Linked DNA regions of Coturnix japonica. Each later gene encodes a partner of the first gene's protein in a complex. Links are inferred from orthologs where the notes say so. Each region holds a gene or a part of one and is shown on either strand. Other genes may lie near its edges. The genes, in order: RAB11FIP1 and RAB14.

Region 1 (15,732 bases):
GCCTTGGTGTGAGTTGAGCACAGAGGGTCCTGGTTCCATCTGCCTCACTGTGACACTGGGTACAGGTGAGGGTTGGGGCTGACACCAGTAGTGCAGTCATTCAATACACAGCACAGACTTCTGAAATCCGTGGAGCGGGTTTTGCTTCACTTAGTCGGACTCAAGAGTGAAACAGCAGCTGATACAGGGAGAAACGGTCAGAGTTGTGAGCTTCTGTGTGGAGGAAGAGTGGGAAGAAATGTATGGAAATAGCTCAGGAAATTAAAGTTTGCCTGCGGTGTGGTTTGAGATGATTCACTGGGGGGGGGGAGGGAGCAGGGAGCGGGGCTGTGCTGCACTGGGGATGCGCTCCCTATGGGCAGAGCCGGCGCTGGTGAGTTCCCTCCTTGCCCCCCGCTCCCCTCTCTCCCTTTGCAGCTGATTAAACGAAAGTCCGGCGTGGCTTCGGGGGAGAACAGCGGGGACGCTTCAGTGCAGGCGCTCGGATCGCAGCAGAGGAGCGGTGCAGCCCCGGCTGATGCCAGCCCTGACGTTTGGAGCTCCTGGCTAATCTCGTTACGGGGACGGATGAGTAGAGTGCAGGCTCGTGGGACTGTTAACAGTGCAAAAGTAGCAGAGCATCCTTATTCGTTTACCCATTAACGTCCTTTGTGATTTCCAGAAGCATTAGGAGCTCCTTTCTGGCACAGCTGTGATTCCCTCCTGCACAAGGGCAGTGCTGTCGGAGCGCTCCGTGTTCTGCTGCTGAGCTCGGGCTGAGGTGAGTGCATCCCTCCCAGCTTGGGGCCAGAGCTCCTCTTTCTCCTTTCTCTTCCCTCCATGGAGCTGTTCCACTTTGTGCTGCCTTCCCTGGGGGGCTGCTTACCAGCATCACCTCTTTTCTGACCCCCGTGCACTATTCCCTTGCCTGCAGGCTGCAGCAGGGAACTCACAGCATGCCCATCAGAGCCACCTGATCCACTGGGTTTTGGGCACCTGGGATATCCCACAGCCACCCCAAAGAGGCCATGGAGCCCGGTGGTGATATTACCAATGCCAGCACCTATGGGCTGGCCCTGCAGAGCCACCCTAATGGCAGCACGCAGTTCACTGGTGTGCAGCTCATCCAGTCCTTTAAACCCCTCATCATTCCCTGCTATGCTCTGGTGGTCCTGGTGGGCATCTTTGGCAACTACTTGCTGCTCTACGTCATCTGCAAGAGCAAGAAGATGCACAACGTCACCAACTTTTTCATTGGGAACCTGGCCTTCTCGGACATGCTGATGTGTGCCACCTGCGTGCCCTTCACCCTGGCGTACGCCTTCAACCCACAGGGATGGATCTTTGGGAAGTTCCTGTGCTACTTTGTGTTCCTGATGCAGCCCATGACAGTCTATGTCTCTGTGTTCACACTCACGGCTATCGCAGTTGACAGGTAAGAGGGTACAAGGGGGTGACATAGGGTCCTCACTGTGGGCAGGATGGGTGCTGTCCCCTTAGGCTGCTTGGTGGTGTGGCTTAGGGTGCTCAGAGCCCCTGAATAAAAGTTCCACTGATCCAAAACAGGAGGCTGTGCTGTCCCAGCAACATCATTGTGCCCAACTCAGTAATGGTGCAATGACTGCCAAGGGAGCTGATGCCTGTGTCTGCAATGTTCCCATGCCACCAGCTCCATCATAAGCACAGCAGGGATGGGCTCCAGCGGTGCCCCAGTGCAGCTTTCTGCCTCCACCTCAGAGCAGAGAGTTTTTCCTCCTGGGTTTTCATCCTTTGCTGCACCAATTTGCATCAAAATTACATTGTGTTCTGTCACCTGGATGGAGAGTGCTTGTGCTTTCTGAAATGGACACAGGCAGGACCTGATTGGGAGGGGGGTAGGGGAGATAGTATGTATAAAAACTGTTTCCATAGATACATGGCTTCATTAGAGAAGCTGCACAAGCCAGGCAGAGCCCAATCCACTGGTATTGGGGGAGAGAACCCTAGAGCAAAGGGGGAAGGCAGAAGCAGGGGAGGTTGAGGTGGGATAGCTGAGAAGACACTGTGGAGTTGAGCTGGTGGGCTGAGATATCACTGAGGAGTGCTTGCCCTGTTCTTTTGCTCTTTATCAAAGCTACTTTTTGGGGGTGAAAGTAGAAATTTGAGCTCTTCCCACTACAGAAGCATCCAGGAAATTATGGTCCTCACCATGAATTGTTGCTGTGCTTCATCTTGTGTGGATTCATGCCAATCCCTTTGGCTGTGGCTAGAGCTCCAGCCCATGCTGTGCCCTGACCACAAGCAGAAGGTTCAGTCTCTCTATCAGTGGGACACAGCTGTTACTCAGGGCAGAATGGGAAGGAGCCATGTGAAATCCCAGCATTGCCGTGATGATGAGCTGGGGTGAGAAATGTGCCCTAACCCTCCAGCCCCACACTTCAAGGGGTGTTATGGGGTGCTCTCCCCCACAGGTATTACGCCACTGTGCACCCGCTGAAGAAGCGCCTGTCGCTCACCAGCTGCATCTACGTGGTGGGGGCCATTTGGCTGCTGTCCTGTGCTCTGGTGGCCCCTGCAGTGGCCCACACGTATCACGTGGAGTTCCAGCAGCAGGGCTTTGCCATCTGCGAGGAGTTCTGGATGGAGCAGGAGGAGCAACGCCTGGCCTATGCTTATAGCACATTGATTGTCACCTACATCCTGCCTCTCTCTGCTGTCTCCCTGTCCTACCTGTGCATCTCAGTGAAGCTGCGTAACCGTGTGGTGCCCGGGCACCCCACGCAGAGCCAGGCTGAGTCTGACCGTGTGAGGAAGAGGAAGATCTTCCGCCTCATTGTGCTGGTGGTGGCTGCTTTCGGGGTTTGCTGGCTGCCAATCCACGTCTTCAACATCATCCGCGACATCGACATTGACCTCATCGACAAGCACTACTTCCTGCTCATCCAGCTGCTGTGCCACTGGTTTGCCATGAGCTCTGCCTGCTCCAATCCCTTCCTCTACGCCTGGTTGCATGACCGCTTCCGTGGGGAGCTGCGTAAGATGTTCTCCTGCGAGCCACGCATCCTCCCTGCCAGCCACTGTGCTGCTGCTGTGCTCTGAGCTTGGCACCAACACTGGGATGTCATTGTCTTGGATGAATGAAATAAGGCCCCAGGAGAGCCGGGAGGCGTTTGGTTGGGCTGTAGTTAGATGTCTGTAGTGCTAATTTAATAGTACGACTTTCATTAAATCTGTGATTGAGTGTTGGGAATGGAATTTCTCATGAGCTGGTTACACCTGGTGTGTCTCCATGTGTTCCAGCAGGATGGCCGTGTGTGCCCTGCGTGCATGGAGCTGTGCCCTTATTGAGTCATAGGGTCATTTGAGCTGGAAGGGACCCTTAAAGGCCAACTGCTCCAACTCCCCTGTCATGAATGGGGGCACCCACAGCTCTATCAGATGCTCAGAACCCCATCCTGCCTGACCTCGCGTGTCTCCAGGTTGCACCTCACCACCCTTTCTATAAACAGCTTTTTCTTTATACTCAGCCTAAATCTCCCTCTTTGAGCTTGAAACCATTTCCCATTGCCCCATCACAACACACCCTGCTGAAGAATCTGTCCCCTTCTTCCTTCCAGCCCCTTTAGATACCAGGAGGTGCGCTCAGGTGTCCCAGTAGCTCCGTGTCCCCATGACCCACACACCCCTGGAGCTGTCCCCATTCCATGCAGAGTTGCGGGCAGCAGAAGCCGTGCTGACCCTTCCCTGGCTCATTTGGCTGCTGCCTGGGTGCAATTTGCTGAGGGCTTGAGCCTCAATTTGCACCGCCTGTGATTGCACATTGTGTACCTAATGGAGCTGGCTATTTATAGCTGATGGGCTCTGCAAGGCAGGGATACAGCTCCGGAACTGCTGCTTTCATACTTAATTCTGCCTGCTGGAGGGGCTGCTCACAGCCATTGCCCAGAGGGGAGGGCAGAAATGTGGGGCAACCCATGTGAATATGGGGGGTAACATGGATAGTGTGGGGGGGAGAGGGTCCAGTGTGGGGTTCACAGCCCAGGTGGGTCCTGTGTCCTGAGGAAGAAGAGGTCCTGGTGACAGGGATGGATGAAGAAGGGGTTGGAAACATTCCTGCATACACCTGTGCACAAACATATACCTGTATGGACATGTACCTATACACACACCCCTATATGCGCACACACACATGTACCTGTATGGGCACATGCCTATGGAGACACATGCAACCCTTTACACACACATCTGTATGCACACCTGTACAAACATACACCTGTGCACAGACCTGCACACACCAGTACACACATACCTGTACACACACACACCTGTATACACACATCTGCACACATACAGCTGTGCACACACCTGCACACCCACTTGCACACCTGCACACACACACCTGTATGCACACACACACCTGCACTCACACACCTGCACTCAGACCTGCACACACACACCTGCACACACACACACACACCTGTATGCACACACACCTGCACACACACTCACCTGCACACACACACCTGTATGCACACACCTGCACACACACCTGTACACACACACACCTGCACACACACACCTGTATACACACACCTGTCCTCACACACCTGCACACACCCGTATACAAACACACCTGTATGCACACACCTGCACGCACACACCTGCACACACACACCTGTACGCACACACCTGCACTCACAACTGCACACATACACACCTGCACACACACCTGCACTCACACACCTGCACACACAAACCTGTACACACCTGTATGAACACACACCTGAATGCACACACCTGTCCTCACACACCTGCACTCACACACCTGCACACACACCTATATACACACACATCTGCACACACACACCTGTATACACACACACCTGTATACACACACACCTGTACTCACACACACCTGTACTCACACACCTGCAAACACACCTATATGCACACACCTGTATACACACACCTGTATGCACACACCTGCCCACACACCTGCACTCACACACCTGTATGCACACACCTGCACGCACCTGTATGTACACACACCTGCACTCACACACCTGCACACACACACCTATATGCACACACCTGTGCACACACCTGCACACACACACCTGCACACACACACCTGCACTCACACACCTGCACACACACACCTGCACTCACACACCTGCACTCACACACCTGCACACACACACACACCTGTACACACACACACCTGCAGTCAGACCCCTGCACACACACCTGTCCTCACACATCTGTCCTCACACACACCTGTATACACACATACCTGTACTCACACACCTGTACACACCTGTATACAGACACACCTGTACTCACACACCTGCACTCTCACACCTGTATACACACACACCTGCACTCACACACCTGCACTCACACACCTGTACACACCTGTATACAGACACACAGAATCACAGAATCACAGAATTACCCGGGTTGGAAGGGACCTCAAGGATCATGTAGTTCCAACCCCCCTGCCTGGCAGGGCCACCAAACATACACCTTTACTAGATCAGGTTGCCCAGGGCCCCGTCCAACCTGGCCTTGAACACCTGCACTCACACACCTGCACTCTCCCACCTGTATACACACACACCTGCACTCACACACACCTGCACACACACACACCTGTACTCACTCACCTGCACTCACACACCTGTATGCACACACCTGTACACACCTGCACACACACGCCTGCACTCACACACCTGTATACACACACACAACTGCACTCACACACCTGCACACACACCTGCACACACACACCTGTATACACACACATGTGTACGCACACACACCTGCACACACATACCTGTATGCACACACCTGCACACACACCTGCACTCACACACACCTGTACACACACACCTGCAGTCAGACACCTGCACACACACCTGCACACACACCTGTCCTCACACATCTGTACTCACACACACCTGTATACGCACACACCTGTACTCACACACCTGCACTCACACTCACCTGCACACACACACACACCTGCACTCACACACCTGCACACACAGCTGCACACACCTGCACACACACACCTGCACTCACACTCACCTGCACACACCTGTATGCAAACACACCTGCACACACACACACCTGCACTCACACACCTGCGCACACACCTGTACTCACACACACCTGCACATACACCTGCACACACACACCTGTATACACACACACCTGTACTCACACACCTGTACACACCTATATACACACACACCTGTACACACCTGTATACACACACACCTGTATACACACACACCTGTACACACCTGCACACACACACACCTGCACGTTGCACACTCAAGCCCCGCCCACCACCCACAAGCCCCGCCCCCTCTCCTTAAGCCCCGCCCACACCACACATCTCGCGAGATCTCAACTCGGGGCGCGCACAACCCCGCGCCGGTAGCGCTCGGCTCCTCATCTCCCCTCAGCCGCCGCCATGTCGGCCCCGGCCCCGCGCTGGGTGCCCACCCACGTCCAAGTGACGGTGCTCCGAGCCCGAGGGCTGCGATCTAAGGCAGCCGAAGGGCAGGGCGGCAGCGATGCTTACGCCGTGATGGCGGTGGGCCGCGATAAGTTCTCCACGTCGGTAGCGGAGCGTTGTCAGGGTGAGCCGCTGTGGAGAGAGGAGGCCACGTTCGAACTGCCGCCTCCGCCGCGGCCTGTCGTGCTGCGCCTCACCGTGATGCACCGAGCGCTCGTAGGCCTCGATAAGTTCCTGGGACGGGCCGAGGTCGATCTGGCGGCGCTGAGGGAGGACGGAGGGCGGCGACACAGCAGGTGAGGGGATGGAGTGATATGGGGGGTCGTTGGGGGGCTCTGAGTGGATCCTGAGGGGCTTAAGTGGATCCTGAGGGGCTCTTGGAGGGGCTCGAGTGGATCCTGAGGGGCTCAAGTGGATCCTGAGGGGTTTAAGTGGATCCTGAGGGGCTTAAGTGGATTCTGAGGGGCTCTTGGAGGGGCTCTGAGTGGATCCTGAGGGGCTCGAGTGGATCCTGAGGGGCTTAAGTGGATTCTGAGAGGCTCTTGGAGGGGCTCAAGTGGATGCTGAGGGGCTCTGAGTGGATGCTCAGGGGCTCAAGTGGATCCTGAGGGGCTCTTGGAGGGGCTTAAGTGGATCCTGAGGGGTTCGAGTGGATCCTGAGGGGCTCTTGGAGGGGCTTAAGTGGATTCTGGGGGGCTCTTGGAGGGGCTCTGAGTGGATCCTGGGGGGCTCTGAGTGGATCCTGAGGGGCTTGAGTGGATCCTGAGGGGCTTGAGTGGATCCTGAGGGGCTCGTGGAGGGGCTCAAGTGGATCCTGAGGGGCTCTGAGTGGATCCTGAGGGGCTCTTGGAGGGGCTTAAGTGGTGCTGGGGGGGCTCAGAGCACTGCTGGGACCTCCTGAAGGAACCCGACCATCCCATGGGGCTGCAATGAGGACCCAACGGTGTGGAGCTCAATGGGGCTCTGCTCTCTGCTGCTGGTGATCACAGCGAGGCCTCAGGGCTGTGCTCAGCTTTCCTCTTTCAATATTTCTATGTGAGCGCCAGCAGGTCGCACAGAGAGCAGTGGAGTTGTATAGAGGAGCTCTATACTGACAGCACATTGTTCAGGTAGGGAATGAAGGCGCCGTGCTGCCAACACTCATGGATTTGTCTTAATGAATGTTTAATGGCGTGTAAGAGCAGGTAATTCGGTGTTATATGGGCTCATGTCACTGCTGGTGGTGCTGTTAGGTGTCTCCTTTAATAAGCAGTGCAGCTCTGTGTCATACTTACACCTTTGGACATACACTGCGGTGCATTGGAACCCCTGGGGTGGTTCCTGGAGCTGTGGGGTAGTGGCAGCACTTAGTGATGTGGTTTGAGGCAGCACTGAGTCACCTTCCTCCTGTGCTGTTCACACCGGTTTGGTCAGTGCTGGGTCTGGGTCGTATTTGTTAACAAAGCTTGTGAAGTCCTAATTAGCACATAGCTATCATTAAGTCCTGTGTCAGGCTGTAATGTGTTTACGCACAGAGCCTCGTGCTTACAGGCAGCAGAGGTCAGCGAGTCAGCATGGGCCCCTTTCTTTGTATTGCTGGTTGTCTGCAGCTGAAATAAAAGCCTTCTATTGATTCATTTTTTGCCTATGCAAATACAGGTAGCTCCTGGAAACTACACGATGCAGAATGGAATCTGCCCTGTGCTTCACTGGGATCGAACATGGGCACAGAGGGGTGCCCAGGGTGCTTCCCACAGCCTTCACTCATTCTCTTCTGCTTTGTTTTGTTCTTCAAAGCAAATTGCTTTTTCTTGTCCTCCTCCATTGCTTCCAGTGCACCCTGAAGTGTGAACTCGATGGAGTTCTGCCCATTGGAGGCAATGTCAGTGTTTTCCTTCCTATCACCTCGGTGAAGGGAGGACGTCTGCAGCTCTCTCAATAGACACAAAACAAACAAATACATCAGCATACAGCACTGATAACTTCCATTTGCTGGCATTACTGTGCTTTGAATGTCATTAAGGAGGACGATGTGTGGAGCAGGAACTGAGCAAGTGCAGTGCAGGCAGGTTGTGGGTTTGCAGCTTGGTTCCCATTCTGTGCTGTGTTTCAGAAGGGGATAAGGCTCTGCCTGTAGCAAATCTCCTGGTTTGACCCAGTTGTTCTCTCATAGAGCTCAGTAGAAGTCCCAGACGTTCTGTAACACTTGTTTTGGATCTTGCTATGTTGATTAGGGGGTTCTTTAGCTTAAGAAGCATTACCATAGCTGCTGCAAAGGAGCTGGAATGAAAGGTATGAGGGTGTGGGAGGCATGCGTAACCTTTCTGGTACAGTGTCAGCAGATCCTATTGCACCCACTTCAAAGCCTTAATCTGAATTTCAGGAAGCCTGAGGAAAAAATGTGGCAGAGCTGACTGACAGTGCATTCCATGTGTTGGTTTTGAACCCAAACAAAATGACAGATTTCACTAATAACTTTCTCTTCACAATCAGAGGTGTTTTCACATGGTTTCTGCAGTCATATGACAGTGATGTCACTGTAAGATTTAAAGGTTTTGCTTTTTTTTTTTCCCCCTGCACTGTAGGCTTTATGCATTCTTCTAACATCAGCACCCTGTGTGAAGCTATTGGTGTGGCTGGGGAGCTTGTTCAGGAAAGAAATCTCATTGTTTTTTTTTGCAGGTGGTACAAACTACGCTCCAAACCAGGGAAAAAGGAAAAGGAGAGAGGAGAGATCGAGGTGGACATCCAGTTCATGAGGAGCAACATGACGGCCAGCATGTTTGATCTGTCCATGAAGGACAAGACCCGCTCCCCATTTGGCAAACTAAAGGACAAGCTGAAGGGGAAGCGGAGCAGTGGGCTCTCAGACACAGCCTCAGCCATCGTACCCAGCACGACACACTCCCCAGCTGATAGTGAAGATGAAGCACCTGAGAAGGAAAAGAAGAAATCCAAGTTCAAAACGCTGTTTTCCAAACCTGGCCTGCGGAAGAATTCCCTCTCACAATCCATGTCGGTGCTGCCCACACCTCAGCCTGTGGATGCCGGGGTCAGGCACAGGCCCAAGGATTTCCATCTGGAGTGGGACGATGAGGACTTGGAGACCTCTCCAACCTCAGAACGTGAGTATGCAGCCTGCGTGCATGGGGCTGTACTCAGAGCCATGGAATCATAGAGGCATCTGAGTTGGAAGGGACCTTTAAGGGTCATCTGGTCCAACTGCCCTGCAGTTAACAGGGACACCACAGCTCCATCAGGGTGCTCAGAGCTGCATCCAGCCTGACCTGGAATGTCTGCAGGAACTGAGGATAGCAGATATTCTTAAGCTAAGCTTACCTTTGGCTGGCTTAGAAGCCATAAGCCTAACCTGCACATGGCAGTGGTGTGGTTCCATAGTGGATATCTGGTGGTTGTAGGTGTTGAAAAGCTCAGTGTGCAGAGGGCTGACAGCATTAAGGTACCCAGAGGATGTGGCCAGTCTAGTCACACCCACATTGTTGCTGTGATCAGTTAACGGGCTTATATCAAGCATCAGAGAAATCTTGAATTTCTTCCTATTTTTTTCTTTTTTTCCAGGAACCTTTGAAATTCCTCTAGACGAGGAGTCCTCTCCTTCTGTATTTAAACACATTAAAGCAGCGACTTTAGACACCAGGCAGCTAAACCAACCAACCCCTGGCAACACCAAGAAAGAAGGGCTCTCTTTATTTAGTGGCCTTAGGTCTAAAAACGATCCAGTTTCCAAGTCCAGTTTGTGTATCAATGGCAGTCATGTTTATATGGAAGAGAAGGACAGCACTCCAGCTTCTTCCCCCTCTCCTCGCAACTTCAGGAAGAAGCAGGTCTCTGCTTCAGAAGAAAACCTCTTTTCCAGATCTACTAAAGGACCTGAGGAGATGGGAAGAACATCTCCAAGCAATGCTATGTCTGGGTCTGCATCCTTGGAGACCTTTAAAGCTCTGTCTTTGCCATCATATAAATTGCTGAGCGGTGAGGAATATGTAGAAACCAGTGTTCCTGTGAGTGTTGAGGTTACCAAAGAGACCAAAAAAACGGACCAGAAAAAGTCTTCCTTGCTTTCCCTGGTCACGGGGAAGAAGGAAGCAGCTAAAAACAGTGATGCTGAAAGTATTCCGGACAGAACTCAGAAGGAAGAGGAGAACAAAGCTGCAGAAGAGAAAAGCGAACAGGAGACCAAACGTCTCGAACCTCCAACAGATTTAAGCAGAGGAAATCCTTCAGCAGACAGTCAGCCAGAAGCCTTCACAAGTAAGCAGCCACTCAACCCCTTTGAGGAAGAACGGAAGCCTGAAAAAGCAGCAGCACCAGCAAAGGCCAAAGCTGTCAAACCCAGGTCAGTGGCTTTTGCTTCAAATGCTGACATAAATAGTGACATGCAGTGGTTGTGGGTTTAGTTAGGGTGCTTCCTAGCACAGAGCAGCACTTCTGAGCTTGATGTGCTGCATGCAGCAGCATCGTGCTGTTCAGGGGGAGGGGGATTCCTGAGGGCTTGGAGCCATTGGTCACAATCATTTTGGTTATTATTTGGTTATTATTCATATTTTTCAATATGAAACAATAGATTGACATAGGGATATTACCAATAAGTGATGCCAAAATAGCAGCTCTCTGAGTGCAAGCAGCTTTTCAGGTTCTGGGGTAAGTTTCTTGCTGGCTCTTTTGCAGAAACTAACATTCTTCTGTCAGAGCTGCGTGGCTTGGAACACATCCAAGGGCTGAAATATCAGTTCTAACACCTCTGCTTCTCCCTTCTATTATTTGCTGTGGTCTTCACAAGAGTTAACCTTGGAGCCCTTCTGCTTTTGACACGGTTCACAGCAACAGCAAGTGTATCTATGGCATTTGTATTCAAGGCTTTTTCGGAAATTCTGCTCCTTCATATGTCTGGTTGTGCATATGTGACTTCATATATATATCTGTGTATATATGTGTGTGTAAATACATTTGTCTTACTAATAAGGCTATGTTTTGCCTGCCTCTGACTCTCTGTTTTCAGTGCTTCTTCCTGTTTAAACATCTTGCACATGAGGTGTCTTACTAATGGAAGTGCTTGGGATGCAGGAGTTGAGGTCACGCTTTAAAAGCAGACGTGGCAGTAATTTGAGTGTGCAAATGGCAGCAGGAGCATTCTGACATCAACCAGGTGTCTGTGAGGAGCATTTAAGCATATTTACTGGTGTCTGTTAGATAGGCTTCTGGCTCTCTTGCTGTGTAATTGATCTCCATTGTCAGGCAGTGGTGCAGTCTGGTGCTGAAGCTTGTCTGTTGCTGCTTCAAGTTGCATCCACAGGTGACATGTGAGTTTTTTGTCCCTTTTGCAGACTGGGCCTGTCTTCAGAGGAGGAAACCAAAGCTACTCTTCCTACTCTTGCACCTGATTCCCTTCCTGCTTATCTGTCTTTGCACCACATCAATAGTGACAACAATCCCTTTGTTTCTAAAATGGAACAGAAAGTACCAGACTCTGAGGGCATTACTTCTGCATCTCTTCCTTCTTTCACTGCAGAGCATTTAAGTGGCAAGAACCCCTTTAATCCCAGCTGGGGCAGGGGAGCTCCAGCCCTGGGTACTGACCACGTTGCCATCCCTTCATCCCATCACCTTGCAGCCTCTGCTCCCAAAGGGCAGATCTCTCATAGTGGCAATAATCCTTTTGCTTCTGAATGGGGTCGGGATCCTGAAGGCTCTGATGCATATGCTTCCACGTCTCCTTTGCCTGCGCATTCTCTCCATTCTGGTGGTCATTTTAATGGCAATAATCCATTTATATCCAAGACTGGATGGGGTGTGGATGTGCCAGGTCTCACAGCTGTCACTGCTTCTTCCCCTGTTGGCCTTCCTGGTGATGGAGACAATTCCTCAGCAGGACTTTCTGCTGATCTGAGCTACTCTGCTGTCACTGCTTCAGGGAGCTCTTTGAGTGTGGCTTCAACTCGTAATGTAAATGCTGTAGCAAACCCTCCTGGCACTCCTGTCGACCCTGGTGTGGCTTCAAAGAATCAGTGTGATTCTGTACAGGCGCAGGTGGGCACTTCTTTAGATAGAAGCAAGTTAGTGCTCTTTGCAGAGAACAGTGCTGAGCAGCCACCTTCCTCTGAGAGTGAGCTCAAAGAGAAGCAGGAGGTGTGGAGAGAAAAGAGGAGGGAGGAGCATTCACCCACATCGGATCCCCAGGATGCTCCTCCTGATACAAATGAGTCATCTCCAGTAGGATCTGTGAACCCAGTTCACAGTGCTCACACACAGCCTCATCAGGAAGCTGCTGCAGGGAGAGCTGGCAGGGAGGGGGCTGTCACACCACAGCCTGCACCACGGCTGTCTTTAATGCAGGGATATCCCCGAGTTTCTCAGGCTGATGAGTTAAGTGTTGGGCCGTCAGGGGAGGGTGAGGGCTCTGCATCCGGCCTTGCTTTACAGAATGAGAAATCCCCTGGTGCTTTTGGGTGCCTCCCTCAGAATGGCTCAGTGACAGCTCTTGTCCCACCAGTAAAGCTTAGAGCTGACAGCAGTAGCAGACGTGTGAGAAAGGAAGGGGACGAGGATTTGTTTGATTCTCTTACAAATCTGAAGTCTGCCCTTTCAGTTACTGGAGATCACAACATGAGGCTGGCTGCCCTTCCTGCTATTCCTGAGGCAGGCTCTGATGATGAGCTGCAGGGTGACTGCCAGGAAAACCACGGCGTTGCTGCAGATGATCAGAACATTTCAGAGTCTGTAGGTAGAAAACCTTTGCATGAGAACCAGCAGGAGAGCTCTGATAGCTCTGCTGCAGGCGGAGTAACTCTGTCTGCAGGAGGAGGAAGTGCTGTGCCCGTGCTGCCTGCAGGAGGGCACGGCCATGAAGTCAGTAAGCAGGCACCTGACTCAGGTATGACGTCTCATTCCAGTGAGCACAGTAGTTGTTTTGAGAAGCAAGTAATAGATACTGGTGTTGGGGAGCGTGCAGAGAGTGACTTCTTTGAGCCTTCTGTTTCCTCTTCCTCCCTGTCGTGTTCTTCCCAGCCCTGCTCCTCCTCTCGCTCCCTCTCCTCTGACACCCCAAGTCAGAGAGCAGAGTCTCCGAAAAAGCCAACAGCAGAGGGCTTCGCTGATAAAGCAGGAAATTCTGGCAAGAAGAAGCTTCTTCAGGCATGGGTTTCACCCTCTGAAACGTACCCTAACCAAACTCAGCAGAGTGGTGAAACCATGTCTCCTAAGCACAGGTGAGAGAACATGGGAACTGCATCGAAGGTATCTCGGTGCTGAGAGCCTTGCTTTTGATGTGAGCTTTGTCTTTTCTTGCTCTGTTACAACCAGCACCACGAATCCTGAGCAGTTAAAACACCTTTTATGGCACAAAGTCAGATCAGATAAGTTGTACTACCTGTGTGTCCCAGTGTAGCAGAAGCATTTGGTATTTTGCAAGAACCACAAGTATGCTCTCATTAAGAACTCACTCACTGGTGCACAAAAGATGGCAATAACAGCTGGTATTACTGCCCTCTCCTGTGGGCTGACCTTGCTTTTCCTTTGTGATGTTGTTCAGGATATATTTCCCTTGTTACTCCTTTATCTCCAATGCCTTAAGTCAGTAAAGGCAGTAGAAAGAATAGAGTGCACTAAGAGAAGCCTGTAGCTGAGGCAGAGATTTCTTATCTTCCCAAAGGCAAATCTTTTATCTCTGGAGTGGGAGGGAGTGCGGAGAAGGACTTTTCCCCATTTTTTTTACTGTATTTGTTTTCACTCTGAAGATGTAACGCCAGTATTGTGTGTACTGCATGAATGACATGAGCCCTTTGTAATGTTACAGACTTCATCCTGTGAAGCCAATGAATACCACAGCAAATAAATCCCAAAGCAAAGACCTGAATGTCATCAGCACTATGAATGAGAAGCTGCTTGAGATGAACATAAAGGTAGGGTGGAGAGCAGCACTTCAAACTCAACTCCTGTACTTTGCTTAGGATCATGTCTCTTGTGTATCTCACGCAGGACTGTGCTTGTGCTCAGACCATGGGGACTGTGCAGTTTTCTTTCCTCCTTTCTTGGAGGTGGGGACATTCTTTATGATTTTCTTGCAACTCATCAATTATAGCATCAGAGCCTCCTGTTTGAGCAGGGGTTTCTGAGTGGAGGGGATGGAGGGCTGCAGCCTGACTGCCTAGAGGTGAGCAGGACATCCAGAGCTGTATCTCTGAGTGACATTGCTGTGCTGCCCTGGTCCTGCTTGTGACATGCAGGATCTGCATAACTTGGATCAGCAGGAAAGATTGGGCAAATTAATCACTGTTGATATGCAAACATCATTAGTCTGCGAAGCTTCTTTTTGCCCTGAAGTAAATTTGTGGATCTTAAAGATGGGGAAAAGGTATCCTTGGCATGTCTGCTGCCTTGTAATGTGTTGCATTAATATCCTCTGCTTCCTAAGAGCATCTCTTTGCAGCTTGTATAACCACTCAGATTTATAGTGTGGGTTATTTTACTGATAATCTTGGTCTCAGGAGACCTCTAAAGCTAATCCTGTGGTGCCTCCTTCTGGTACAAGTGGAAAAGAAGAAAGTTTTATTTAAATACTATTGACTGACATGTTAAAATGTTTGTCAAGTTTAAGAGCTAAAGGCAGAGTTATCAGACAAACTGTGCTGTGTGTTTGTGGTGGTAATCTGAAGAAGACTGAAACGCCTCAGGCCTATGTGAGGGTTTGTGCTGTTTAACCTGAATTTGACCTCCCTGGCTTTCAGCACTTTGGGTCTGAGCAGTCATAAAGCTTTAATGAGCAGCATTCCAAAATGCCATTTAGATTGAATGTAGCTCTACAAAGGTGGGAAGCACGGTAATACTTCTGAGGAGCAGCTGTGTGTTGGCAGATGGAAATGTAAAGCAGTTCCTCACTGCTTGAACTCCAAACCATCTCCTAGAGAGCATTCAGTTCTTGTCTGCAGTGCCCTCGTGTGAGGTGACCTTGCTTTTCTTTTGCAGAAATACAGTCCTTCAGATCCTGCCTACGCTTATGCTCAGCTCACACACGATGAGCTGATCCAGCTGGTCCTGAAACAGAAGGATACGATCACCAAGAAGGATCTCCAGGTGCGTGAGCTTGAAGACTACATCGATAACTTGCTTGTCAGAGTCATGGAAGAAACCCCAAACATTCTTCGTGTTTCAACTTCTGGAAACAGAAAAGCTGGAAAGATGTAGGAGCTCTCTGGACATCGAACAAAGGACTGAATTCCTGCCAGTAGAGTTTGATTAATAAGGAGACAATG
Region 2 (15,745 bases), on another chromosome or scaffold:
AAAAAACAAACAAAAGAAACCTCTGATTTTTTGTATTTGCACTGAAGCATTGTTTCTATGTGGATAGGTACAACCTAATTGCTATGTAGCAGTTTTAAAGGAAACAAAAGCGCTTCTTTGCAGGCACAACATTGAAATTATTGCTCAGGAATCAAATATACAAGTGGGATCAGAAAGACATGAGAAATTCATGAGGGGTGGGATGACTACTGACTACTAAACATAATCATCTGAATGCAACCTTCAGTTCCGAATATCCCTGATCATGGCAGTTCTCTACTGCCATAACCCACAGTGACAGACCTAAGGAAATCTGCCCATACAAACTCTTCTCTCCTTTGTCTAAGCATCTGCTGCAAGCTCCTGTCATTGCTGAGACACTGATGAGCTGTGAGACAGCTCCGCTGCTCCTGCCCTGAGGGCTGTATGAGGCTGCATTACCTCTTCACACCACCACTGTCTCATAGAGCCTCCTGCAGAAACATACTTTGCAGATGAGCGAAACATGGCAGGCTCCATAGCTGTGCACTACCCCCACCTAGGGAGATTGTCTGATACTGGCGAAACAGCTCCAGCCCAGCCTGCAGCTGAGAACCCTCGCATTGCTTTTCCTTTCATGGGAACAGAATTAATCATCCAGAGCATTTCTTTCAAGTTCCTTCAGTCTTCTGAGCATCTGAAGTGATTAAATGATGATTAACTGATGAAACTGAAAAGATGAGAACTTTAATGTTGAGAAGCAGAAAAAACTACATGACAGAGGTACACAAAGTGGTCAGGCAGAGACGTGTTCAGAAATAGATTATTCATACAGCGATTCCTAAGTGCTGTGAAAGTGAACAATAATCAAGAACAGCGGCTTCTTCCTATACGGTAGTTATTCACTGTGAGCAACTTACTTCATATGTTTAACCACGTTCCGTTTAACTGCAATCAACCTGCAACTTCACCACTTCAGCTCACATTTAAACATAAAACAGAAGAAGAAGAAGAGGAAGAAGAAAAACCAACCACTAAAATATTCCTTCTGGTAGATTTTCAAAGCAAAAGGGGGAAATGGTTTGTGGAGCTCCAGATCCCAATCCAACATCTTCTTTCATAAGCATGAGTAACATGTCAGCAGCAGGACTGAGTGTGGAGTTCAACTGGAAAGCTTGCATTCCTAAAGCAAGCTAAAAGCAGATAGAAATCCTGAGCACCAAATAAGACAGACGGCTATTTTAGGAAAGGTTTCGTTCCCACCAGCACACTGTACAACACCCAGAATACAAAAAGTGACTTTATCTGAACCTGAGGAAGCACTGGCTCAGCACAGGTCTTTGAAAACAGCTAATTGCTGCTCTGTGCACCATAGCAAGGCTCTTACCAGCTCTTCTTCCCAGACGCAGCATCCCCCCTCAGTGGCACTGCTGGCCACAATGTTGACTCAGGGGAGAGCTGAGGCACTCACAGAAATACATAAAGTATCTACAAAAACAGCCCTGTCATGGAACAAGTCACGCAGCCTCTCAGCTGGAGCTGGCAGCAACTGCCCTCGGTAACAGAACCGTGCAACCAGACTGCAGAATGTTATCTCACATCCCTGCTTTGCTGATGAAAGGAACAAATTCACAAACAGGTTGGATTCGTGCCTGTAAAATCAAAGTTGAAACCAGCAGTAGCATTTTTGCTTTGTCACACTTTAGACATTCAAAAGCAGCCAGAGATTGTCTGCAGGTTCAGTTTCCGTGTTATTTTCCCTGTAGTTCTGGAATTTCATCAAGCTGAAGAAAGCATCCATTCTTCTGAGGGCAGGAGACATTCCTTCACCGCCTGCATGTGCCCAGTTCTCACTAGAACACAGCGGTATCTGAACACTCAGGCAACCACTGGAAAATCCATCCATGTATTTAAACGCAGTATTTAAGTCCACCATCCACATATACCTACAAGGTGTAACTTCATTCCTACCCTATCACTGTGTTGGATTTTAGTGAAATCCATGAAGCTCGACTCCATGCTGCTCCAGCAAGAAAGCAATGCAGTGGAGCCCATGGATGGCACAGATAAACACCCAGGACTGGAGCATCCGTGCAGAGGACAGCATTCCCACTGTCTGTGCTGGAGGTGAAGAGCAGAGTACAACACAGTGCGCAGGCACACCTTGAAGCACGGCACGGCACAGCCTGCCATGGAGAGGACATCAAGCAGAGCTGGGTTCTGCTTCTCCCTGCAAGCTTATGGGTTAAAGTTAGAGCTCTCTGCACTGCGTGGTACGGAGTGTGGAATAAACTACCTCACGGACAAGATGAGGGAAACCATTTGCAGTAGCCAAGACCTGATCCTGAATACTTGGACAACAATTCATTTGCTGGGCAGATACAGCATAGTTACACAGACACTGCAGGGTAGTTGGGGGAACCTAGAGGATGAGAGGTACTTGAAAGCCATGTTCTGCTCCAGAGCAGAAGGACCCTGAGCTGAGCATGCCAGAAATTCAGCAAAGGAAACATTTTTTCACTGAGAAACTTGCATCATGCAAAGTTGGTAGTGGAAAACCGAAAGAATTGCAATGATCAGTAAGGAAAAAGGAGACTTAGAGGAAACTGATGCTAAAGTCATCCTTGTTAGCAAAGGCGGATTTTTGTTCCACATCCAAAAGCAAATAACATTCCAAGCAGCTTTATTCAATGAGGATCTACTTACTAATGAGGCCTCCTTGAAACAAGTCATCCCCATAACTTTTTTTTTTTTTTTTTTAAACACTTTTCCTAGGAAACATTTCAAATAACTTTAAGTATCCACATTAGTGCAATTCCCGTTCAAACACCGTTTCCCCGGGCACAGAAGCACGCACACCCGCCGCTCCGGTGGCAGATGCTCAGCAGGCGGCCGGCGATCCGCCCCGTGCTGCTGTCAGTGTAACACCAGGTCAGACTGCGGAGCAGCGTCACACGGGACACCGGCTCCGGAGCAGCCGAGCCTGGAACTGACACTCAGTCCCGCCGCTCCCCCCACGCCCCTCCCCACATCCCCACATCCCCCCTGCAGCCCCAGGCTCGGAGCTGCCGCTGCCGCCCGCCCGGCCCCACGGTGCCCCCAGGATTCGCCCCGCTCCCCGTGCCGGAATGTTCCTCGCTGTCCCCATCGCGGTGCCGGCCGTACCTGCTGCTGGCGCTCGGGGCGGGCGGGACGCGGCTGCGGGGCGCGGGGCCGGGCACAGCCGGGCAGCCCCGGGGGCGGTCACAGCGCGCACCCCGCCCCAGCCCGGCCCCGCCCCGGCCAAGGCCCCGTGGAGCTCTGCCCGGCCGTGATTCCCCCACCACGCCCAGCCCAGCCCCTCGGCCACCATTTTGTTCCTCACTTACCTCATTCATCTCAGCCTCCCGGGGCGCATCCGGGCCGTCCCCACGCTGGGTGGAGGAGGGAAGGGCCGTTCCTTCGCTCCGTGTCACATGGCGAGCAGCTCCTCGTGCTCCGCCACGAGGCGAGGGCAGCGCGGGGCTGGAACGCGGTCGGCAGAGAACTCGGGCACGGCCGGGCGCTCCCACATCCCGCAGTCCCTGCAGGCCGGCTGCTCTGCTCACACCCACGGGAACAAGGCTGCTTTGAGCCCGGAGAACAATGCGGCCCTTCATCCCGGCACCGGGACAGGCGGACCCTGCAGCGCCCTGTGCTGGGAGAGTTCATTCTGCACCAGCAGCTGCTGGGAGACAGTGGAAAGAAGGCAAAGTAAGCACGTGAAGGTGCCTGCTGCTGGCTCCTGACAGTGCTTTTGGCCCATGGGAAGCAGCACTGATCTGAATTTGTGGATGGTAACTGAGTCATCCAGCATTTCACAGCTCGCACCATCTGTGGGCACGTTGCTGTACTGAGGAGCCACACAGCTGCCCCGTCTCTGAAAGGGTGTTGCTGGTAGTCAGCACAGTTCTATTGCTGTAGTGATGGGGTTGTGCCGAGGCACAGGCTGCTTGCTCGCAAAAAGGCTGGAATGCAGCACGGTGTTAAGCTGAAGAAGTGAACCAGGCATCCACATTTAAGTGTGATCTCCCAGATAACTCAGGTAAAGCAGTGCTGCTCAGCTTTGTAGTTGGTATCAAAGGAGCCGCTGTCAGCTGGAGCTGCTGCCTTCTGCAGTGCTGGAATCCTGCAGGGATGGTCCTGCTGTGTACAAGTGGGCAGGGATTTACTTCCTTCTGAACCCACATTCACTGCCATATGGGGAGCATGGGCTGATTGGCACCTACTGACACCAGAACTGCTGTTGTGACAAACATCCTCGCACTGGTATTAAGTCTGATGTGCAGGTTTGGGGCTGTGTACAGCAGGCAGCTGATATGGCGAGGGATAGAAGATGAACCTGGCATCCCAACATCCAACCAGACCCACCAGTCGTTTCAGAGCGGCCCAGTGTTACGTGCCCCACCTCACACAGATTGCAGTACTGCAGAATGGCTCCTGGATGATCCCAGGCTTCTGCTTTCTGTTCCTGCCCACAGACATTTGGACGCAGACAGAAAAAGAAGCTGAGGCTTGGGGGAACAAAAAGGAGAAACCACATCTAAGCAGACATGCATTACTTCAGCTGCCCTCCCTGCTGATCCTCCCAGCCTGTGTTACTGCTGCTGGGCCACTTAGGTTTTCCTAACCATTGTGAATTGCTGCTTTCATGCCATCATATAAATGCCAGCTGCGGGTTTTTTTTTACCCTTCAGTTGTGTTTTATGTATCACTTCTTCATAAGATCTCCTCCTATAGCTGTGAGGTGCTGCATTGAAAGGTCTCGGCTGTAGATTTTCTCCCCTTTTTCCCCTGATTTATTTACAGCCATGTTGAGAAGTAAGAAAAAGTAAATCCAGGAGCAGAATGGTCTGGGTGCTGCTCTTTAATGCCAGCCTGCAGACAGAGACACTCAGAACTGGATTCCAAGTGCTGCACTGAACTGGCAGGAACCCACAAAGAAGGGTGGGAGGATAGGCAGCGTTTCATCTCCAGCCGTCTGCTATTGTTACCAAGTTAGTGGGATTTAATGACAGCTGTTGGGTTCTGCCCTGATGTCCAGGAGGAATGAGCTGCACTCAGCCTTTTCTCAATCACCGCTCTCAAGAAACTGCTGCCAGCTTTCATGTGATCACAAGGACACGAGAAGCAAAGCAGTAAAGATGCCATTATCCAATCTTCTGGAATAGGATTCAAAACCAGACCCTTTAAGGCGAGTCTGCATTGCCTTTCAGCTCATGCGACACAGCAGCTTGGTATGAAATATGCCCCAAAGTTTGAGTTTCACGTGAAAAAGATGGCCTCTGTTGTGGTTAGATAATGGCTTCCGTCTTTCTTTGTTGCAAATAAGAAGTAACAATGATTATTTGTATATTCTAAAGCTACTTTTCGCCCTGTTCAGCGTGTTCTCAGCCCGGCCCTCACACTGAGGTGGTTTGGAGAGCTGCTGAGTAATCCTGCCCATATCCGTGGCCACAGGAGGGAGCAACACTTCATAACTTAAAGACCTTTGAAAATCATCTTCTTTATAGAAAAAGCTTAGTCCATGTCGGTAATATATGGGGGAATACCGAGCGTGTAAAGGCACCGGGGTGTCTGACAGACAGAAAACCAGGCTGTAACGGTGTCAAAATAGCCCGATCGTTTTGTGTTTAACGACTCCCTCTTGTGGAAATCGTCCTGACTGACTCAATTCATCCTCACTGACTCGTTTTGACCTATTTTTCTCGTCCAAATCCCTCCATATATGGCACTGCTAAATTCGAGAGCAGCGCTGTTGCACAGCGTTACCTATTTGAAAGGTAAGACCCCCATAAGAAGAGCTGTGGAAGGAGGTGAGCTGACAGCAATAATACATGGTAATTTTGTACCTTCCTACCGATATATTTATTATTTAGCTTATGCTGAGTGATCCCCAGCGGGGGGGATGCATGGAGAGCGGTCAGTTAGGAGTTCCCTGTAGGAAACACAGAATCACAGAATGACCCGGGTTGGAAGGGACCTCAAGGATCATGTAGTTCCAACCCCCTGCCTGGCAGGGCCACCAAACATACACCTTTACTAGATCAGGTTGCCCAGGGCCCCGTCCAACCTGGCCTTGAACACCTCCAAGGACGGGGCATCCACAACCTCCCTGGGCAGCCTGTTCCAGGGCCTAACCACTCTCCTAGTGAAGAACTTCCCCCTAACATCCAACCTAAATCTTCCCTCTTTTAACTTAAAACCATTTCCCCGTGTCCTGCTATTGTCAGCCCTTTCCAAGAGTTTACTCTCCTCCTGGGAGTAAGTTCCCTTCAGGTATTGAAAGGCTGCAGTGAGGTCACCCCGCAACCTTCTCTTCTCCAGGCTGAACAAACCCAACTCCCTCAGCCTGTCCTCATAGGGGAGGTGCTCCAGCCCCCTGATCATCTTCCTGTCCCTCCTCTGGACCCTTTCCAAAATCTCCATGTCTTTTTTGTACTGAGGGCTCCGCACCTGGACACGGTACAACAGATGGGGCCTCACAAGAGCCGAGTAGAGAGGGACGATCACCTCCCTATCCCTGCTGACCACCCTCTCCTGATGGAGCCCAGGATCCCATTTGCTTTCCGGGCTGCCAGAGCGCACTGCTGGCTCATGTTGAGTCTTTCATCCACCACGTATGGAGCAGCAGACACAGCGCTGTGCGCTCACACACAGCTCGGCCCACCTGAGGCGGCCCCTTCTCCTGAGGAGCCGCTCAGTCCTGCCGCCCTTCCCTTCCGTTCCCGCCCCACGCCGCCGTTGTGAGGCGGGGCTTTTCCCGCCATTGGCTCCTTCCCGCCTCCATCGCCCACCTTTGTGCAGCCCCGCAGCCCGTCCAGAGTGGGAGGGGAAACCCCGTGCGAGGGGCGCCGCCATCTTGGATAAGGAGGGGGGTGATGGGGGCGCAGTGGAGCCAGCGGAGCAGAGACTGAGGGAGCGCTGGAGTGAGGTGGGACCCGGCCCGGCCGCTGCCCAGCACGAGCAGAGCGCTCCAGTGCCCGTAGGGGGACCGGGCTGTCGCCGGCAGAACCACGCTGTACAGCCACACGCTCCCTGAGCCCAGGTAAGGAGGAGCTGGGGAGGGGCGGCACGGAGCGCCAGGCCCCGCGGGACTGACTGGGCGGCAGCGCGGCCCGGCCCGGCCCGTGGCTCCGCGTCCTCCCGGTGCTGTGTGCGGGTCTATTCTGTGCCGCACTGGGCGCTGCGGGCCGCGCTCGGGCGGCGGCAGCTCAGGGCGGAGGGACGTGGGGCCTGGGAGGTGCAGCGGGCAGGCCCAGCCGGGAGCAGGAGCAGGCCCAGGCCGCTGTGCGCTGCCGGCCGCCGCCTCCCTGTGCACCGCGCCATCAGCGGGTGCTGGAGCACATTGGGTGTATGTGAGCATATATGTGAGCTCGGTGATTGCTGCAGTGTGGTTGCCGTATGCGTGTGTTACACAATGTGGCTGATGTGCGGTGTTATCTCTGCTTATCCTGGCCTGCGCTGTTGTAATGAACTTAGATAGAAAAATAACTCATGGGGTGAATCTATGCTACTTCCTATCTGTGGAAGCAACAGCTTCGTTTCCTTTTGTCAATGCTTCTGCTGCCAAAGCAGCAGTTCCTTGCTTTCACCTATTTGCATTACATAGCTGTGCCTGGAATTGAAATTATACTGCTTTGTCCTTGCAGGAAAAACGTGTCTGTGTTGGGATTTGGCGTGGCTGCATTGCTCCGCTCTGGAGGTTCCTAGATGAGGACTCTGTAATGTGGTGGTTTTGTGCTGCTGTGATTTTGCAGGTGTAGAAGCACACCTGGGTGTAGATTGTCCAGCTCCTAAATCACTTTGAACCTCGAGTCAGAAATGTAGCTCTTATGGTTACCCTGCGTTGTGGTGTGGGATGTTTGTCTTGGGATCATTCTGTCATGGTTAGGACTGAGGGCTTCTTGTTCTTGGGCACTGCTTGGGAATGGGAAGGAAATCCCAGTCCTGAGGGGCTTAGAAAATAATTATCATGTAGCCTAATATGATTTAACAAAGAATTTAGTAGTTTCCTGTAGGGATTTGAACAAGTCATGGATCTTAGTTGAAGGAAGAAGCTCTTTATACGTATGTTTTAAGGACTGCCAAAGAGAAAAAGAGTGGGATTGTGAAGGACAGCAGAAAACAAACCTGTTATACTGGCAGTGCTGGGATTCTGAATGTAAATTGAACTTCTGAAGCTGCTTGCTTGCTCATGTGCATCAAATGGAACTTAGGATTGTTTCTGGCTTTGCTGTATGTTTCTGCAACAAAGGAGCTGGACCTCAGTGTTTCTTTGAAACTGTTTCCCCCTTCCTTCCTGAGGTAATGGCTCTCAGCAGTTGCTTTCTGCTCTGATTTACGATCTGACAGTATCTCCTGGTTTTTGTATATACTGACCCTACGCTCATCTGAGATCTCTGGAACTTCGCTCCTATGCCTCCTATGTAGGTATGTGTTGCAGGTGGGAGCCTCTTATAGAGAGAGGAGAATTGGATAAGTGAGGTCTGCTAACCCGGAAGTGAGGTCAGCATCTAAGTGTGGGAAGCTTAGGAAACAAGATGGCAGAGCTTGGTAGAGTGAAAAAGGACTTTACCACCACAATGTGTGCAGCTGGACAGCTGTTGAGGTGAATCAAAGTGGTGGTGGCATATGTTCTCTTTATTTTAAACCAAGAGTGCTTGGCCTGTGTGTTCTTCCAAAATCCTAACTTGGTCTGAGGCCTAGGAAGTGTATGTAATGTGATCATGAAATATCGTATATATCAAATATATTCCTTCAAAAACAACTGAAAGAAGGTCCTGCTCAGTTGCAAGCTCACCAGTCTCAGCCCAGCAGCTGCTGGCCTTTTGTGTTTCTAGAGAGAATGACTGGACGTGTGAGAAATGAGGAGCTGCAGAGTGGTCTTCAGAAGCAGATTATGAGAGGCCTGACTGCAAGCTCTGATTGAAGACCACTTCAGCTAAATGTATCGTCCTGTGCATCATCAGATGCTTCTGCAAAGTCCAGTCAGAGGCACTAAAGAGGATGACTGGAAGAGCTGAGAAATGAGTAAGGAACTGGCCAGCAAGAGGTGATGTTATGAGAGCATGAGCTGCTAGCAGGCTGCTGATGGCACTGCTCTGGGGTCAGTCTTACATGTTGGGCTCTTTACAGATGAACATACAAAAATAAGAACCAAGGGGAATTAGTGGTGGCTGTTAGGCCATTCTGTTTATGAGGGCTGAGGTGTTTGTATATTTAGGAACATCTGAATGTCCTGAGTGTAATAGAACAACAATGAAGTTTAGTGGTACCCCGCAGCTTCCTATAGCCAGCTGACTGATGGGGATTCACCACTTGGGTGTATCAACTGATGATAAAACCATTACTGCCTTCCAGTGTCACAGTGTGATGTTACAGAAGACCACAAGTGGTGCAGTTACAGACAGTGCTTCCAGCAGCCTGCTAAAGGAAGATCCCATTTACACTGCTCTGCTTCATGTGCTTGACAAAACTCTTCATCAGAGGAATAGTTTAAGTTGAAACAATTGTTTCCCTGGATTTCCCTCCTTTGTCCCCTGCTGTTCTTAGTGTTCATTGCAAGTTGACGCCCAAGTACATATGCAGAGAAGGAAGGTTATCACAGAGTCACACAACACATTCATTTTGTGTGAGGATTTAGAACAAATGCAAGTTCTGATATCCTTAAAGAGTTGTGGTATTTGGAAGTGATGATGTGGTGGTGTTCTCTTCTATAGAGGTGGGACTGAACTTGACCTCTGAGGTTCCTCTGCTGAAGTACATCCATGGGGAGTGCCCCAAACCTCCCGGGTGGTTGGGTAAAATACAAATCTCTCTGGCTCCAGACTAACTGAAGTGGTTGTCTGGCTGCATTGGTATGTTTTTAAGGAGAGCCTGTAATATTGAGACCATCCTGAGGCTGAGGTATCATCTCTATGTGGGCTGAGCAGGTAATGGTATTCAGCACATGCAGTGATGACAGGTTCCAGTCCCTCCTAATAACACACAGATTCTTACTTAGCATAAAGTTGTGAAGATTCTCTATGCAAATGATTCTCATTGCAGACCTGATTGGCTGTGTCCCTCAGCTGGGCTGGGAGGAGCTGCATGGGCCTCGTGACAGCTGGTACGGGTATGATGCTAACAATTCATCCTGGGTGCATTGCCATAACACTCATAATAAGAGCAAACCACCTTATCTCAGTTTATATTGGTAGATGCTGGTGTTTGAAGCAGTTTTGGATGTGAAAATACTGGCCTGGTGCTTCTTGTTTAGAGGAAGAAATACCAGCATCACCAATATCTTGTTAAGGCTGCCTTCTCTTATTATAAAGAGGTAGAGAAGATGTATGGAGAATGGATTACAGCAACACACGGTAAAAATTCCTGTCCTAATTGTGACACAGAAATTAATCGTACAGGGTTTGAAGCTAGCAGAGATCTGTGTACAGTGAAGCATGATCCTCTGGCCAGTTGCCACCCTGAAATAATGCTGTAAGCTCTGGGGAAGCGTTACCTCGGGAAAGGGAGCTGGAACTTGTTCTAAGTTGGCACGTTTTCCTGGAAGAAAGATGGCAGGCAGACCACGCTCCCAGACAAAACTACTTCTGCTTTCTGTTACCAGTGAATGGATGCCTGGTTAACTTTGTGTTGTGTAACATCAGCTGTGGCTGAAGGTAGGTTGTGCAGGCTTGGATGGGACTCCTTCAGTCCTGCAGTTCCTTCTGCCACCACTCCTGCTCACCAAGGAGGAACACTCTGAACCCCTGTATTGGGAATATGACAGGGAGCAGAGGGCTGTGAAGGGGTGTAGAGCACCACTTTCTACAGATAACTGATCCTATTGACAATACATGAACCCTCTGCATTAGCATGTAGCTAACATTTGTTGTGATTACTGAGCTCTTCTGTGCACTGCTCTTGTCTAAACTTCCTTCTTTTGCCTGTAGCGAGTGCTGAGCTTGGATGTTTCCTAAGGCTGAATTCTCAGTGGCTTCTGTGTTGTCATGGGTTTTTTCTTTTCCTGTATGTTGCACACTTCTGATCCAGCTTTATATTTAGAACTTGGTTGTCTTCCAGCAGGGATTGTTCTGTGTGTCCGTTTAGTGAAACAAAGAAAGGGGTGAAGTTGTGAGAAGTCTGGAATGTTGTTACAAGGTTCTGCTCTGTGAAGTAGGTTAATGTGCTGTTAGCTGCTAAGTGGAATAGTTTAGTTCCAGAGTTACAGACAGCAAGCACATCATCTCCTCTAATATGTGAGCTCTGTGGTCTAAGGGGAGACCCTTAGAGCAGCCTCATCTCACTAAGAGTGAAGGTGATGTTCTCACAGTGAGACATGGCTTGAAGGGTGTTGGCCTTTCCAACCCGTTTCTTAGCAGGCTTTGTTACCAAGTGCAGGATGTGGTTTGCTAACTCTTGCTTTGAAGTGGGAACTGATTTTGATGCAGATGTTACAAAGCAGTGACAGTTTCTTTCATATCGAAGTAGTGCAGTTGCAGACCTCTTTAAATAAGGAGTATAATGAAAGTTGGCATAGCTCAGCACATAGAAATGGTGTCAAGTAAACAGAGCGGTATATTTAGCAGTGAGGACTCCTTCCAGACTTTGTGACACAGCCTGCACAGAGCTCCCAGTCTGCCCATGCTTTTAATAAAAAGGCTTCCACCTTCCAGCGCTGCTTCTTAAAAGCATAGGCACTGCGACCTCTTCCTTGTGCACTGCATCATTGTCAGGTGTTTGGAAGCACTACAGTGGGGTATTTCTGAGTACTTAGCATTCCTTAGCCAATGGGTGCTGTGTGAGATGGACATCGGGGTTTGCTCAGGATGGATCTCACAGCTGCTGGGTAGCTCCTTTTTCCCTTCAGAAAACCTATGTAGGTTGATAGATAGCCTTAACAGGGTGCAGAGCTGTCAAACTAGGTTCCTATTGGTGCTTTCAGTCTCTTCAGCTTTATGTAGTGGCTGTAGCATGTGTTTTCTTTGGGGGTGGGGGAGAACATTGCATTTCTGCTGTCTTCCCAAAGGGTTTGCAAATATAAGTTGGCCTACTCAAGCTCTTTTGTTTTTAATTTTATTCACTTCCGTACCTCATAGTACTCAGGTTAGTACTCTGGTTTAGCCTTGTCTGCCATCAGAATGAACTGCAGCAGAGCAGTTAGAAGTAGTGCAATGGGTCAGGAGGTGTAACTGGGGCTGGTGGAGAGGAGGGACAGGGCAAGATACATTTGTGTGTTCTGAAGTATACACTGTTTCTGCAGTAACTCCTGAACATTGAAGTCTCAAGTGCAGCTACTTGTCTTTCTTTGCCAGTGTTGGAAACAAACTGTGTGAACTGAAGCTGACACTGTAGCTCTGGACTCTTTCGCTGGTAGGAAACATGGGCTGAAGTTGTTGTTGGCTGGATGGCAGGTTGGGGCGGCACATCTGAAACACAAATGTGAGTTGTGCTGCTGTGCAGCGCTGCAGAGCACTGTGAGCAGCTGTGCTGAGCGGGGCCTGGGGGTGACAGAGGTGTGGGGTGTCTGTGTGCCATTTCTTACGTGGCCATGGAAGAAGTTGGTGTAAAATCACCTTGACTTGATGGAAATGATGGTTCTTGGAGCCATGCAGCACCTAGTTGGGAATTCTGGTTTTGCCAACATGGACAAGAATGACTCTCCAAGACTTTTTGTTGTTGCTGTTGACTATGTAGCACTTAAAATAATTAATACAATTAATAAGATTAATAAAACAGTGTGTGTCTGCATAGGACTTAATGGAGGTACTTTGCTGCTTGGGCTAGAAGGCCTCTGGAACTCCTGTATCTTGAGGAAAACACAATGGGAAGGTGCAGATCTGGCATGTGGTGGATGTTTCTCACCTTCCCCTTGGAGTTGTTCTCCTCCATGGTCTAGATAGGGGTGTTTGCTCCAAACCTCTGCTGTGCAGAGCTGTGGCTGTCAGCCTGTGCACAGTGAGTGAGGTTTGTTGGCAGTCACCTTCCTTAAGACAGTGATTCACAGCTATGGAGCAATGTTGGCTGAGGAAACACTACCTTCTACTGAAAAGTACTTCTGAAAAAGGTACAAGCTTGTGAGTTTCTTTGTGTTCACTTCTTTGAGGTGCTGCTTTGGTTTGTCATGTGGATGACGCGTGACTGGAAGGACCTTCCTGGGCTGGGGCCATGTTGTCTGTGAGCAGTACAGTTGTGCTCATGGCTGGTTATCTGCCGTGCAGGAGCAGGACAGGAAATGGTGAATTCCTAATAGAAACTTCCTGTTTGCTTAAATGATGGCACTTAGGTCTTGTTTAAATTAAAGTCTGGCACAAAAGCTGTCGTTTTGCTCTGAGATAAAATAATAAATCTGAGCAGCGTAGACTTGCAATCCTGCATATGCGATACAGTAGTGATAAGTCAGTTTACACAGCTGAGGCCACTTCTAATTCCTCCTACATGTAGGAAAACTCCACAGTGTTGAAAGTATTTATCCCAAACAAATTTTAACGCTATCGTTTAAATCCTCTACAGAGCAAAGATTAGTGAATAAATCCTATAAGATCAGTGAGCTGTGCTGCTTCAAACAAAGAAACAAAAGGGTTGTGAAGCTTTGGGATGATCACGCTCTGCAGGTGGAGCCACAGATGTGATGACTGATTTCCTGAGCATCTTCTCTCTGACTTGGGCTGCTCCACTGATGTACAGGCTGCAGTCAATGCTGCTGCAGCATTCCTGTGCTGTCTGAAGTAATTCTTAGCTGTTTGATGCAAGCTGTGCTGTTTGTCTCTGTTGTGAGTCCCAAAGGTGTCTGGTTGTTGTTCCAAACCACTGGTTTTATAAAACCTTTTGTGATAATTGCTTTTTGGAGTCAGGCTTTATTTCCAGCTCTCATCAGCTACTGGGCTACAGTGTGCTGGTCAGCTTGGTGACCATCTGAACCAAGAGCCTGCTGGAGCCCTTAAGTGGCTGGAAAGTTTTCCTGATGATACTGAATGGGTGTCAATACTAAGAACCTGCTTCTGTTCAGAGTTATTGATGATGGGATTTCTGAGCACATGGTATGGGAGTTCTGCTGAATGCTGGGACACTTGGACTGTGAATGAGGAGGTGGCTGGGGAGAGAGAAGGTGGTGTTCTTTTTCTTTTCCTTGGCTTGCGTAGGCTCAGTTGGCTGAAATGGGTTCAGTTCAAACAAGTAGCAGTTCTGATATATTCTGTTTTTGTTTTTCAGTGCCACGATGGCAACTGCACCTTACAACTATTCCTACATCTTTAAGTACATCATTATTGGTAAGTACTTAGATATGTTTGCTCCAGTATCTGTGTGTAACAGTGTGCCTCCAAACTACTGTTGACTTCTGTTTCGTGTTGCTTGCTGTATAGCATTAGCTCTTTGAGCAGTTCCTCATCCTGCCTCAGTCCCTCATAGATCCCCACATTTGCCCTAAAGCTTTAGCAGCTGATCCAAATGAATGCAGATGCTTTCAGTGCTGCTGGGAGTGGGGCTGGGTGGTTATCCATATTTTTTGATAGCCTCTACTTGCAGTTGCAAGTAACACAGGAGAAGGGTGAGCACTCAGTGTGTTGTGCTTCAGTTTCTTGCAGGTCAGCCTTATTCTGACCTTGTGAAACACAAGTGTGAAGTCAGTAATGCAGTTATCGTCACTTGTGTATTTTCTGCTCCACCCTTGCTTGCAGCTCTGTACCTGCAACCAAAATTACAGTTTGGCTGTAACACTGATAAATCTTGAAGGCTGTAGCCAGGTGTAGGAAGCAAGGAAGTTGCATGTTAGACCTGGGAAAGGAGCAGCTGCCTGTCCCTGTATGTGTGTTGTGTGGGATGAGCAGAATGTGCTTGTTGCGACAACACGGTGTCTGCTCTAACTGCTCTTTCTGTAACAGGGGACATGGGTGTAGGAAAGTCCTGTTTGCTTCACCAATTCACGGAAAAGAAATGTGAGTATTTCAGTACACAGTGCTCATTGAAACTGCTGTACTTCATCTCTCTTTCCTGCCTTTCTGCTTCTGTCATAGGTGAGCTTGATCTATATCATAACATGGGGAGGTTTGTACAGTGCTTGGTCAGACTTCTGTTTTGTCTTCTGCAATTATAGAAGTAAAATGCTGCTGTAGTAATAGCAAGAATGATGCCAGTCCTGTCCAAGAGTGGGAAGGTACATGTGTTTTCACAGCTTTCCCAGGGAATTGTGATATGAAACAGTGAGATTTATTGTCTAAAATGTGTGTATTTAATGCTGGTATGGCTTTAAACTCAGCTGTAGGTTTTAAAAGTTAAGTACTTGAAGGGGTGGGGGATTCACTTTTCACGGACTGCAGATTTAAGCGTTGTCATTCTCTGTAGCTGCTGTGACTCATGGCACTAGGACTGCTCCTGCGTGATGCTGGTCAAGGCTTTCAGCATTCCATCTCAACTGTAATATTTCTTCATGTACGCTATCACAGCTAACTAAGAATCAGCTTCAGCTCTTCCTACTAATGTGCATTGCATTGAGTTTGCAGTGGCTGTTACAAACTCTTACGACTTCCCATGTAGCTCACGCTCAATGGACAAGTCTGTAGCTATCTGTTAGTATGGAGCTGGTCTTTCTCTTGCACTACTCTAGATGTGCAGTAACTGTGTGCATGCTGCAGATTAAATGTTCCTGTTTTGTAGTAGGAAGTGAGTTTTTAACTGCTGCTTTGAATCCAAACCCCAGAAAACCCACTTGTGTAAGTGCTACTTTGCATTCGGTTCCGTTTATGAACAGGCAGTGACTTGTTCTTAC

The links.
Region 2: the proteins of RAB11FIP1 (region 1) and RAB14 are in contact, whole or in part, in a crystal structure (PDB 4D0G), measured with the Homo sapiens proteins. The link is inferred for Coturnix japonica from reciprocal best matches to the Homo sapiens genes RAB11FIP1 and RAB14. Residues at the interface, in NP_001002814.2 of Homo sapiens: Glu1252, Ile1255, Asp1256, Asn1257, Leu1259, Val1260, Met1263, Pro1267, Asn1268, Leu1270, Arg1271, Ile1272; in NP_057406.2 of Homo sapiens: Leu28, His29, Ile44, Gly45, Val46, Glu47, Phe48, Gly49, Trp65, Arg72, Arg74, Ala75, Val76, Ser79, Tyr80.

The regions. Positions count from the first base shown.
Region 1 is NC_029537.1:3,594,797-3,610,528, reverse strand, and holds the start of RAB11FIP1 (rab11 family-interacting protein 1), read left to right. Parts: upstream 1-6,376; 5' UTR 6,377-6,439; coding exon 6,440-6,780; intron 6,781-7,533; coding exon 7,534-7,593; exon of another isoform or gene 7,594-7,600; coding exon of another isoform or gene 7,601-7,668; intron 7,669-9,145; coding exon 9,146-9,588; intron 9,589-10,042; coding exon 10,043-10,820; intron 10,821-11,152; coding exon of another isoform or gene 11,153-11,159; exon of another isoform or gene 11,160-11,802; intron 11,803-11,808; coding exon 11,809-13,689; intron 13,690-14,276; coding exon 14,277-14,382; intron 14,383-15,445; coding exon 15,446-15,664; 3' UTR 15,665-15,732. Other genes in the region: prolactin-releasing peptide receptor-like, read left to right, coding at 1,008-1,414, 2,430-3,057. UniProt on the Homo sapiens protein: A Rab11 effector protein involved in the endosomal recycling process. Also involved in controlling membrane trafficking along the phagocytic pathway and in phagocytosis. Interaction with RAB14 may function in the process of neurite formation.
Region 2 is NC_029532.1:6,860,607-6,876,351, reverse strand, and holds the start of RAB14 (ras-related protein Rab-14), read left to right. Parts: upstream 1-6,839; 5' UTR 6,840-7,045; intron 7,046-14,190; 5' UTR 14,191-14,197; coding exon 14,198-14,249; intron 14,250-14,861; coding exon 14,862-14,915; intron 14,916-15,745. Other genes in the region: GSN (gelsolin), read right to left, coding at 3,348-3,617.